Astyanax mexicanus: one gene and its partners. The protein of the gene in region 1 interacts with the protein of each later gene in a pairwise test. Links are inferred from orthologs where the notes say so. Each region holds a gene or a part of one and is shown in the gene's direction. Other genes may lie near its edges.

Region 1 (3,756 bases):
CCACGATAATCTAACAACCGCATTTTACGGAAGCCTTCATATAAAGCAAAATTAGATTTTATTGTTCTGTGTGAGCCCATGTTCCTGGTGAAATATGCATATTAGTTTTGCATTATCATGCACGCACACATCAGTCTGCGCGCGCCTAGTAATGCGTTTGTGTTGTGAACTGCACGCAGGGAGCAGGGAGGGTGGGAAGCCTACTTTTAAAATGACGTAATGTATTTGCGAATTTAACAATTACGTAATGCATTTGCACATTAAACATCTTCACACGCTACAGGTTACTGCGTGAGTGATACATAGATCAGTGCAGCAGAAAGCTCGTGCACTGACTGCTAAACACGCTTGCAGTCACTCGATGTGCCAGTATTTCCAGAAGGTCGCGAGGCTGAACTATTATGTTCTTAGTTGCTTTTAATTGTAACTCTGACAGAAGGAAGAAAGGAGCTGATTGTTTGTTCTGTCAGCTTTGTGTTAAGCCACCGTCGAATCCTACATTCAACCCTGGGCTGCAGATGATTGGCATATGATGACAGGAAGGCAGAAAAGCTGCAGGGTGAAAAGACACAGTTCTGTGTAACGAGTGTGTAAGAGGGGGGAGTGTGCGGGGGTGGGGGGGTGGGGGGGTGTTGTTCTTGTGAGGTTTGTTGTGGCAATAGGAAGCTTGCTCTATTCAATTCGGAATCGATTCGAAAGAACCTTTTACATGACTGAACGATTCCTTTTAGTTTAGTATCACAAAGAAGATATTCGCACCTTCAACCACCCACTTTCCCAGTTTTGTGATACATAAGAAAGTAGTTAAATAAGTCACATCTCTATTAATAAAATATGATTTATTATTATTTATTATTCTATTATTGTTTTTTTTGTTTTTTCTAATGTTGCTTCTTTTTATACTTTTGTTTTAAATGTTCTTTTTTTGTTATTTCAGTTCAAAGTTAGTGTTCACATATATTTTAATAATTTTACAGTTTATTTTCTTATTCCGAAATGTATTTATGTAATTTGGATTGCTTGACTGATTCATTTATCTATCTATATATTTTAACTCTTACTAATTAAGCCTTAAATTGTTATTTTTTACTCTTCCAGTCTTGTTTTTTTGTGCTTGCTTTTGTTAAATTAATATATATATATTCTCTTTAATCCTTGTTTACCGTGAATACAATGTACTTTCAATGAAAAATAAGAGTTGGTTGGGTTATATAAATAAAACATGTATATATTTTAAAGATATCACTATGTCATGTATTACGCTATTATTTCATTTATTCAGTACTTTTGGTGTTACTTTTTCTTTTGACACTACTGTAGTCACGGTTATTGCAATGTTTGACCATTTATGTTCTCGATAGCTACAGTATATTGCCTATTTGAATCCGAGTCTGAATCTAGTATTTGCGAATCGACTCATCTGACTCGGTTCATGGAGAACAATTCGTTCCTGAATCGACCGTCGCTAGTCGGTCGCAGTGCTTAGTCATGGTGACTTACTGCTTCGCGCTCTCTCTCTGTCCCCCCCCCTCTCCTCTCATCTGGCCTTTAGTCAGCACTGACAGACTTCATCCTCACAAGACGCGTGAGTAGCAACCTTAAAACCTTTGCACTGCAAAAAACGAGTCGTTGTGTTTCGTTAGAGCTGCACTTTTCTGTGCATTTTCTTTGTTTATCATCGTGTTGCACGCTGAGTCGGTGGGAAGTGATTCATCTGCCCGTGCTTCACCAGAGTGCACTGCTGAGGAGTGTTTTCGAGCTTTGCCAGGATACATAAGTCTGTCTGTCTGGAACAGCACAGACCGCTAGGTAACATAGGTTAGTTTTTAGGTGTAGGGTCGCAGTCTTAGAAATCCCACTGTTTATCTAAAGCATTTGGGGCTGTGATTCATGCAGAGATCTTTAACACTGAAAATCATGGACTCATGGATCATGAAGAAATCCACTACCCATACAGTAGCTCTACTCGTTTAAAAGATGGTGCAGGTTTTATATAAGGAGTGTTTATATAAGGATTAAGCCTAAAAGATTAGATAACAATAAAATAAAAGTAAACAATAAATGCAGTGTTAAATTATTTTTCTTTACAATAATATATGGCTGTAGTGAAAGGTATTAAAGACCCACAATAATCCAGTCGGGGTTCATGGGGTTAATAAAGTGAAACACGATCGCCTACTTTCCTTATCCAGCTGACGGCATGCCTTAACTCTCTGTATTCTCTTTTAAGATGTAAAATTAAGATAAGCTATGTAGGTTAGACTGTTTTACCGAAAATTCCGCTAGCTGTGCCAGTGTTTACCTGATTAAATTAAACAAACCCTTCGCCGGTAATTGTTTTGAATAAGGTGCGCGTTGTTTGGTAAAATAACCTAGCGTTAGGTAACCTAGTTAGCTCCTAAAAGGAGCTGCTGTGGCTAGTTTAATTATTAAAGCGAGAGAAAGTTTTACACGATATACCTGTAATGTTATCCACCCTTTAGAAACGCTTCTTTAAAAGCTCTGCGGACTGAAAAGTTCAAACCTGAACGGACGAGGCTGGAGAACGGCGAAGTTTCCTGAGGTTGGTTGGCTCATTATGACCCACTCTTCAGTAGAATCGCTTCCCGCCTTGGCAGCACTGTCCCCCGCAGGGGCTCGAACTCAAGCCCGGGGATTCGCGGCCTGTGGTTTGGTTTTTGTTTAGTTTTATTTTTTACTCTCCACGCTGATATTTATTGCTTTTTAAAGTGTCGTTACAAACAGGCAAGCGACCATTGATATGTAGAGTCGACATTGGCTAAAACATTTTTTTTTACTTGTGGTGTGTTAAAATTACAACTTAAAATCGACTATTTCGCTCTCTCTGACCAATTGTAACATTTCATCAGTTTACACTAATGCTAACAAAATGTCAACAACAAATGCTTTTGTTGTATTAAGCTGTGTAGTGCAGAGAAAGACACCTGTGGAGTAAAAGTTTGTAGTTGTTTGGACGTCAGCGAGATAATTTGACGTAAAGAAAAATGTAGTCACGATGACGAGGGGGGAGTCGGACCTGATTGAAACCAACCAGTGTGTGTGCGCGTCACTGGTCTTAAATAACAGTGTTGTTCAGCTCACTACCACAACACCACATCCAGCAGCAGACTGGTTGGCTTGTTTGTGACTTGGCATATCCATGGATACTGATAAGTAACTACCGGACCTTTGGACTATTTTTTTTTAGCTCTGAACTCTCAGCATATACTGTTATATGTGTTTCTGTTGCAATATTTTGTGTGTTTTATTTTAGTTTTATCAGCATGATTAAAGTTAGTTTATGCTGTCTGATTGCAGTGTGCTGACTGTGTGTCATTTAAGCAACAGGAATGTACTTGTTGTGTCAGGACAGAATGTCCGTGATTTCACCCTGTTGATCTTTGTCGTAAATCTCTCTCGCTCACTCTCTCACTTCTTTTTTTTTGCAGGTCTTTGAGCGACCGGCAGACGAAAACAGATTCCAGGGCACAGAACTTTTAAGACCTTCAGTCCTGGCGGGATCAGCTGTGTAAAGCTGTGCTGTTTTCCTGGAGAAGATTGTCTGTACAGGCTAAATAACCTCTAGCACCTTTCACACGCCTTCTGACCTGAATGTCTGTAATCTTTCAGGCTGTCGGCTAGACTTCGAGTTTACAAACGGAGGTGAAACGGTGACTTTTAACCTAGAAAACCTTATGCTACAACGAGAGGAAATTATTTTTTTTTCCAAGTCAAGGAGTTCTTATACTTTCATTG
Region 2 (3,756 bases), about 19 Mb from region 1:
GTGATGAGGACAGCTTGTTTTGTAATTTCTGTGGATTACATACCCAAGTACAAAAATTTTACATTTTTACAGTATTGGATGTGCTAAATGGCCCACAATTATATTGTATAATGCAGTATATTTTGTTGGAGAATTCTAAATGTTCTATATTAACTAGTACTACTAGTTTTCATTACAACACACCAGACAAAAAAAATGAAACAAGCTATAAGAGTTGGCTAATACAAAAATATATATTTTTTTGTATTCTAGGAACAAAAAAAACAATATGCTTGAATTTAAAGTTACATTCTCCAAGCTATACATACTACATACACCATACATGCTATTAGACTCAGGCCCTTTGCAACAAAGCAAGCAAACCAATCAGTTGCTTGGCAACCTTAGCTGGCCCCCAACCAATGACTGGTTATAAATTGAATTTCTCATGATTTCTCAAAAAATCCTCTAAATGACAATATTTTTATTTGTAATTTGGGAGAAATGCCATCAAAAGTTTATAGAATAAAAGTGCAATGTTCATTTTACTCAAACATATACCTATAGATTTATATTTTTAATATTATTTTTATTATAAATATATATATATATATATGTATGTGTGTGTGTGTGTATGTATATGTATATATATATATATATATATATATATATATATATATATATATATATATATATATATTATACATTCTATTTTCATGTGGTCTCAATTTTTTTCCAGAGCTGTCCAGATTAATTAATTAATTTATAAATTATTAATAAATTATTTTTTGCAACTTGTGATGTCTGCAGATGCCTTGAGATGACTTCTGGTAATATACTGGTAATGTAATGTGCTGGTAATGTAATGTACTGGTAATGTAGTGTACCGGTAATGTAATGTACTGGTAATGTAGTGTACCGGTAAACTAATGTACTGGTAATGTAGTGTACTGGTAATGTAATGTGCTGGTAATGAAGTATACTGGTAATGTAGTGTACCGGTAAAGTAATGTACTGGTAATGTAGTGTACTGGTAATGTAATGTGCTGGTAATGTAGTGTACTGGTAATGTAATGTGCTGGTAATGAAGTATACTGGTAATGTAGTGTACCGGTAATGTACTGGTAATGTAGTGTACTGGTAATGTAGTGCCTGTTTAGAAATGTGTGGATTTGGAAGAGGCCCCTGGTTTTACAACATAGCGTCACTTCCTTCGAGCGGCTCGGCTGGCTGTACTGAGACTGGAGGCGGGTGGGGAGTGTGTGAACGGAGTGTGTGAGGAGTGAGTAGGGGAACCGAAGCAGAGGAACCGCGGAGGAGAGTGTGGAGCTGTATGGACCATGGAGTGTGTGAGTATCTTCAGCTAAAAACAGTTAAACTCAGAAGTAGGAGAAACGAGCCGGCGGGCTCTTCAGACCGTTAGCGCCTCCGGTACCGCGCTCTGGCTTAACGTTATTTAGCTAGCGTTAGCTAGTTAGCTTATCTTAGCTGAGTGAGTAGGGTTAGTTGTGTATCGCCTGGTCTGCTTCTGTAGCTCAAAAGACCAAACGGGCTTTTAAAAGTATAAATAACATGAAAATGAAAAGATAAGTTGCCAACCATCTTTTTGGCTTCGGTAGAAACTTTTAAAACTGAGTTTAGATCCGCAGTCTTGCAGTTTTAACATCCTGAGCGGTGCTAGCGAGAATCTAGCGCCGGATAGTGCCAAACAGCGGCGAATAACAACTCCTTATCTGGTAAGGTTAGTTAAATTGCAGACAACGTCTGTGGGTTCCTCTCTCTATTTATCCTTTATCTAGGTTAACTAATTCTATTTAATGCCGGCTATCTATTAAAAGAGTTAACCTAGCCTCTGTTGGAGTAAGTAGTTTGCTAGCTAGCTAACCCAACAGGCTAACTAAGCTAACCTATCTAATTACATGAAATGATGGTAACGTTGTCTAGGACCTGACAGTTAACTAACACGTACGTTACTAGTTAATGTTTGTTAGTTATAAATCAAAACGTATGTTTAATATCAAAACATTCAAATACTTTCACCACTGCTGCTGTTTAAGTTAGTTATTATTTTGAGTGTAATGACAGCTAGCGTTAATTCTTTATCAGATATGTTGCCAACATGTAAAATCTGAATAACAATATTATGGTGCAAGATCTCAGTATATCTGTACATTTGTTTTAGTGATTTAGCTCAGTCTTCTCAGTGTTAATATAATTTTAAATAGTCAAGTCCCGTCAAGTATTTTTTTTGTCATAACTGCAGGTGTAACTTACAGGACAGCTAATTGAAATTATTTTAATCTCCTTTCCAAAAGTTACAGCAAGTACCACATAAAATTATAAATATAAAATAATGAGAGACACTATATGTACAATACAACAAGGTCACAGATATAGACATACGTGAGGCAAGAGACACAATAGTGATGGGGGGGGATTAAAGAAGGAATGACAATGCCTGTATTAACACTGGTGCAAATATAAAGGTATAAAAGCTAAAACACACACACACATATATATATATATATATATATATATATATATATATATATATATATATATATATATATATATATATACGTATATATATATACGTATATATATATACATATATATATATATATATATATATATATATATATATATATACGTATATATATATATACGTATATATATATATACGTATATATATATATATATATACGTATATATAGTGTGTGTGTGTTTAGCTTTTATACCTTTATATTTGCACTAGTGTGTGTGTTTGCTATTGACTGTAACAGCTAGCTGGGTAACCCACCACAGGTTTGTCCTGATACAGTACCAGTCAAATGTTTGGAGACTCTTCTTCTTATTTAGTGTGTTTTCTTTCTTTTTATGTTTCCATTTTTTAAAGTAGCACATTTATCTTTAAGGGCAGATCTGCACACTCTTGGTATTTTAACCTCAGTGTCTTCATGAGGTAGCGTCACCTGGAATAGTTTTCTCAGCGTTTTGAAAGAGTTTCTGGAGGTGTTGAACAATAGTTACGGCTTTTCTTTTAGGTTGTGCTCCAGCTCATCCCAAACCACATGGGTTGGGTTTTTATGCCAGGTGTTTGTGTCTTCTACCCAGTTGCATATGTTTTCCTTCCTAGTTTTTAGGTATTTAATAATAATCTACATTGTCGTATATAATACAAAGAACAAATGTTAATGAGAATGTGTGTTCAAATTTTTGACTGGTACTGTTTCGTACATGTTGTAAAATCTGAAATATGTCATGGTACGAGATCTTAGTATATCTGCCTTTTTTGTGCTCAGCTCAGTCTCTTTACTAAAATTGTTGTAGGACCTTAACACTTGGCTTAATAACTAGGATGTGTGTTTTCTATTGAATGGCTGTAGCTAGGAAACAAAGCCCAGTTTTGTCCCGGTAGTCTTTTCTTGTGATCATATTTTATGTAATTAAACTGCATACTACTGCATTTCTCTCTGTAAAGAAATAAATATACCAGATAAACAGAATTACTGTAAATAATGCACTAGTTTCTGCCTGTTGTTGTAGATAATGTAGAGTTAAAAAGGAAAAGAAGTATGCCAGGTTTTAGCTTGAATTTCCAATTTATTTTATCTAGACACATCTTAAAATGTAATTTACAGTGTTAGTTTGTCAGAATATTGTGACGTCGGGAGTAACTTTAGCACATGTATTCAAAATCAGTCAATCCCAGAGCATTTTAAATGACTGCTTCTATTCAAGAATACTTGTGAGAAAAGTATGCTTTTTAATTACATT
Region 3 (3,756 bases), on another chromosome or scaffold:
TTTGATGATTGTATTTGACAGTGCAGTGCAGTGCAGTTCATGGCTCATTGCTTACATAAAACTGATACAAGTCATGCATATTTACAGCCAGAGATTGGAAGTGTAGAAAGTATTGTACTGCATCTGTGGTCAGAGGTTCAGATGTATAGATACACTGCAAAGATACATGAATGTCTTTCTAAAGTGTCGCTATTTCTTCATTATTCCATCCATGGCAGCACATATTAATTTTAAGGGAAACCCTTACATTAAAATAATGGCATGTTGAAAAACTGGCAAAGAGTACTTTTGAAGACTATAAATATTTAGGCATGCAGATCTCTGATCAATCGCATGCTTTAAAATGGTGGTTTTGTCTGTTCACACCCTGATTATCAAATAACATTGAATACATGTTATTTTGTTTATTGTATTACATATATTATGGCTGATAATGAAAAAAAAAACCTTTATTTAACATTGCATAGTAGACATTGGTCAATGTTGATTTTCTTAATGTTTACTTAAAGATTTTAAATGGTTGGGCTGAGCTCTTCTACACTTACAATTCTTTTAGGTGAAAGGTCCTTCCCACAAATTTTAGTATTAATACTTATTATTTAAATAGCCCTTTCTACACTACAAGGACACAATACAGGCTATAAGAATAGAATACAAACAAGATATACAGTATCAGTCAAACATTTACACATTACATTTCATTATTAAATTTTATTTTTCTGCATTGTAGATTAATATCAAACTGAGGAAAATATATGAAATTATTTATTAAACAAAAAAGTGTCAAACAAACAAGAGTATGTCTTATATTTTAGATTCTTCAAAGTTGACACCTCAGTTTTGCACGACTTTAAGTTTTCTTAGTCAGTTTTATAAGATAGAGTCACTTAGAATGGCTGGCTTTCAGTTAACAGCTGTGCTGAACTTGTGAAATGTTAATTACTTAAATGTATTGCCCTTGTCCTGGCATCAGTTGTAAATTTGTGTGTGTAGAGTTGGTATACAGTAAATAGCTCTATTTGAGTAATGTTTTATTCCATATTATAGTAAGAACTACTCAACTAAGCAAAGCAAAAAACTAATTAATGAAGTTCAGTCAATTTGAAAATTCTCAAGACAGAAGTTAACAGCACCCCAGATAAGAGCCACCTAATGCTTCACAGAGTATATTGGTTTGTTTAACACTTTTTTAGTTACTGTGTTAACCATTGTGCGTTCCTTCATAGGCTATGTGACTTCAGCATATGTAGGGAAAAAAGAAAAATATACACATTAAATTAAAAGAGGTGTATACACACACACAAACCCAGTGTGTACAGACCCCTGGACATGCTCTGTGGGTGAAGAGCTCTTTCTTGCGCTTCAGCATGAACCCTTCTCGACTCCGCGCTCTGATTGGTTGGAACAGCTGTCAATCTTCTTTTCGCGCGCATGATTGGTTTCGGGGCGGGCTTTGCTTTGAATGGATAGCGGAAGTCGGTGTGGACGGTGAGCTTGCATTTTGACAGCGTTGGACAGAACTGGTTCAGGTAGAAAGTGATTTAAGTGCATTAATTAACGCAGGGAGCGGGTCTGTGTGAATGGAGGAGGTGTAGTCAGACTGGAGCTCGTTTAAATGCCTAATTAATTTAGCTGGAGAACTTAAACAGCACAAGCTATCAAGTTAGCTAGCAAACCTGAGCTAGGCTAGCTAGCTTTGTTAGCTTAAACTGCTCAGTGTTTTCAGTTGAAGTGAAAGTAACATTAGAAGACCAGGTCTGCAACTTGCAGTGTCCATAACATATCAGATAAATTATATTCAGAGAGCTAAAACATCCCCTTTGTTTAAAATATTCAGTTTCATTTAATAGATTTCTCCTTCTGAACTGAGTGAAATATTTATTTATTAAACTGAGGGACATATTTATTTTTTAACATAAGTGAAAGATTTATTTAACAAACGAAGGGAAATTTTTAATTATTAAATTGCGTAAAAGATTTGTTTATTTAACTGAGGGAAATATGTATTAAAGGGCTCTATTAGCGAATTCAATTGAAGGAATGAGTGCTTTATTAATCTGAGGGAAAGATAGTGCTGGAAGATATGGAGCAAAAATAATGTTTTTTTTTTCTGAATGGCGATGTACAATATATGATATAACCTATTATAATGTGTATCATTTTTTTCGTAAGGTAAAACTAAAACATTCATTATTCATGTAGAAGTATAGATACTAGAGTTTAAAAGTAATTATCAAAAGTAAAAGTACTGGGTTCAAAACATGCCATTAAGAATAAATAAAAGCTTAGGCTATAGGGCCTTACCCCCTTACCAAAACACCTTTTTTTTGTCTAAAAAGAAGTAAAAAGTCGTTTGAAAATAATTGAAAATAATTAATCCATCAAAGTATAGATTTCAACATTTCCACTTAAATAAGGTAACATAATATTTGTATTTTGCAGGGCATTTTTATTATTCAGTGCCATATCCTGTGTGTATAGCAGACATAGCAGAATTTTATGTCTAATTCCACAAATTAATTATAAACTACAGATGTTTTTAACAATAGAATTTTCTTTTCCATTTCAAGTAGCCTAGAAACAAGTGCCACATACAAAATTGCTTTGGGGACAAAGTGCATTTAAAGTGTTTAAGAAAAAGTAAATGTAGTCCACATAGTCTATATTGATATAAACAAATTTGTGTCTTATATGAAAATATATAGAAAATTCATAAGATTAAATTGAGGAAATAGTAGGGGCTCATTAATCACTCAATATCTAGTTGGCTGTAAAAGTCTGTTAGTCCTTTTGTGCCAGTAAAAGAAGATATAAAATTTTGCCATTTTTTCCTAGTCATTGAACATCTTCCAGGTCCATTACTCAGCATTATTACTGTATTACTGTATCAGTTCATTTCTTGTTCCTTAACAGCTACATTTTTTTTCAGAATTACAAATTTAATTTGTAATTTCGTCTTGTTCTTCACTCCACAATTAAACTCATTTTAACTTTACTCTTCGTCTCTTTTCTCTTACAGAGCCCTTTGATTGTAGTAGAGGAAACGTGCTTGATAACCATCATGGTGGATTCTCAGTACTACCTCCCCAATGATATTGGGATCTCAGCTCTGGATTGTGCGGAAGCCTTCCGACTGCTGTCTCCCAAGGAGAAGTTGTATGCACATTACCTCTCTCGGGCAGCTTGGTATGGTGGTCTCGTGGTGCTGCTGCAGACCTCCCCGGAGTCTCCCACCATCTATGTGCTCTTGCAGAGAATATTCCGGAAGCAGCCCCCTGCAGAGCTGGAGGCCGTGGCAACTGCAGCAGGGCTGACCTCAGAGGAATACCAGGTTAAAAATCTCTCATGTTTTACTAATCTCATATTTAATAGCAGTACAAAGTTGCCTAAGTGGTAATGGCAACTTTTGTTTTTCTCTGTTTATTTTTACAGGCATTTCTTGTATATGCTGCGGGGCTTTATGCCAACATGGGAAACTACAAGTCATTTGGTGACACCAAGTTCATCCCCAATCTGCCAAAGGTAAATGCTCCAAAGCTTCATATGCATATTCTGCTTTGATTTATGACTTTCTATGACATCAGTTTTAACTGGACCTGAATATACCTGCAGGAAAAGTTCAAGGCACTGGTGTGGGAGAGTCAGGCCTATAAGGAACGCCCTGATGAGATCGAGGTGCTGTGGAACAGCTGCTCCAATCTCCTTTACTCCTTAGAAGACAAGCAGAAACAGCTTGGTCTTGGGGACAAGGTAAAA

Evidence for each region. The genes of interacting proteins can lie anywhere in the genome.
Region 2: the proteins of keap1b (region 1) and prkag1 interact in binary tests that used the Homo sapiens proteins (3 or more experiments, as listed by UniProt). The two-hybrid records come from large-scale screens. The link is inferred for Astyanax mexicanus from reciprocal best matches to the Homo sapiens genes KEAP1 and PRKAG1.
Region 3: the proteins of keap1b (region 1) and dpp3 interact in binary tests that used the Homo sapiens proteins (3 or more experiments, as listed by UniProt). The two-hybrid records come from large-scale screens. The link is inferred for Astyanax mexicanus from reciprocal best matches to the Homo sapiens genes KEAP1 and DPP3.

Annotation. Positions count from the first base shown.
Region 1 is NC_064412.1:31,853,046-31,856,801, forward strand, and holds the start of keap1b (kelch-like ECH-associated protein 1B), read left to right. Parts: upstream 1-1,451; 5' UTR 1,452-1,585; intron 1,586-1,593; exon of another isoform or gene 1,594-1,809; intron 1,810-2,081; exon of another isoform or gene 2,082-2,563; intron 2,564-3,071; exon of another isoform or gene 3,072-3,174; intron 3,175-3,449; 5' UTR 3,450-3,756. UniProt on the Homo sapiens protein: Substrate-specific adapter of a BCR (BTB-CUL3-RBX1) E3 ubiquitin ligase complex that regulates the response to oxidative stress by targeting NFE2L2/NRF2 for ubiquitination.
Region 2 is NC_064412.1:12,725,116-12,728,871, forward strand, and holds the start of prkag1 (5'-AMP-activated protein kinase subunit gamma-1), read left to right. Parts: upstream 1-1,171; 5' UTR 1,172-1,319; coding exon 1,320-1,328; intron 1,329-3,756. UniProt on the Homo sapiens protein: AMP/ATP-binding subunit of AMP-activated protein kinase (AMPK), an energy sensor protein kinase that plays a key role in regulating cellular energy metabolism.
Region 3 is NC_064424.1:16,347,423-16,351,178, forward strand, and holds the start of dpp3 (dipeptidyl peptidase 3), read left to right. Parts: upstream 1-1,445; 5' UTR 1,446-1,529; intron 1,530-3,019; 5' UTR 3,020-3,061; coding exon 3,062-3,331; intron 3,332-3,432; coding exon 3,433-3,522; intron 3,523-3,612; coding exon 3,613-3,750; intron 3,751-3,756. UniProt on the Homo sapiens protein: Cleaves and degrades bioactive peptides, including angiotensin, Leu-enkephalin and Met-enkephalin. Also cleaves Arg-Arg-beta-naphthylamide (in vitro).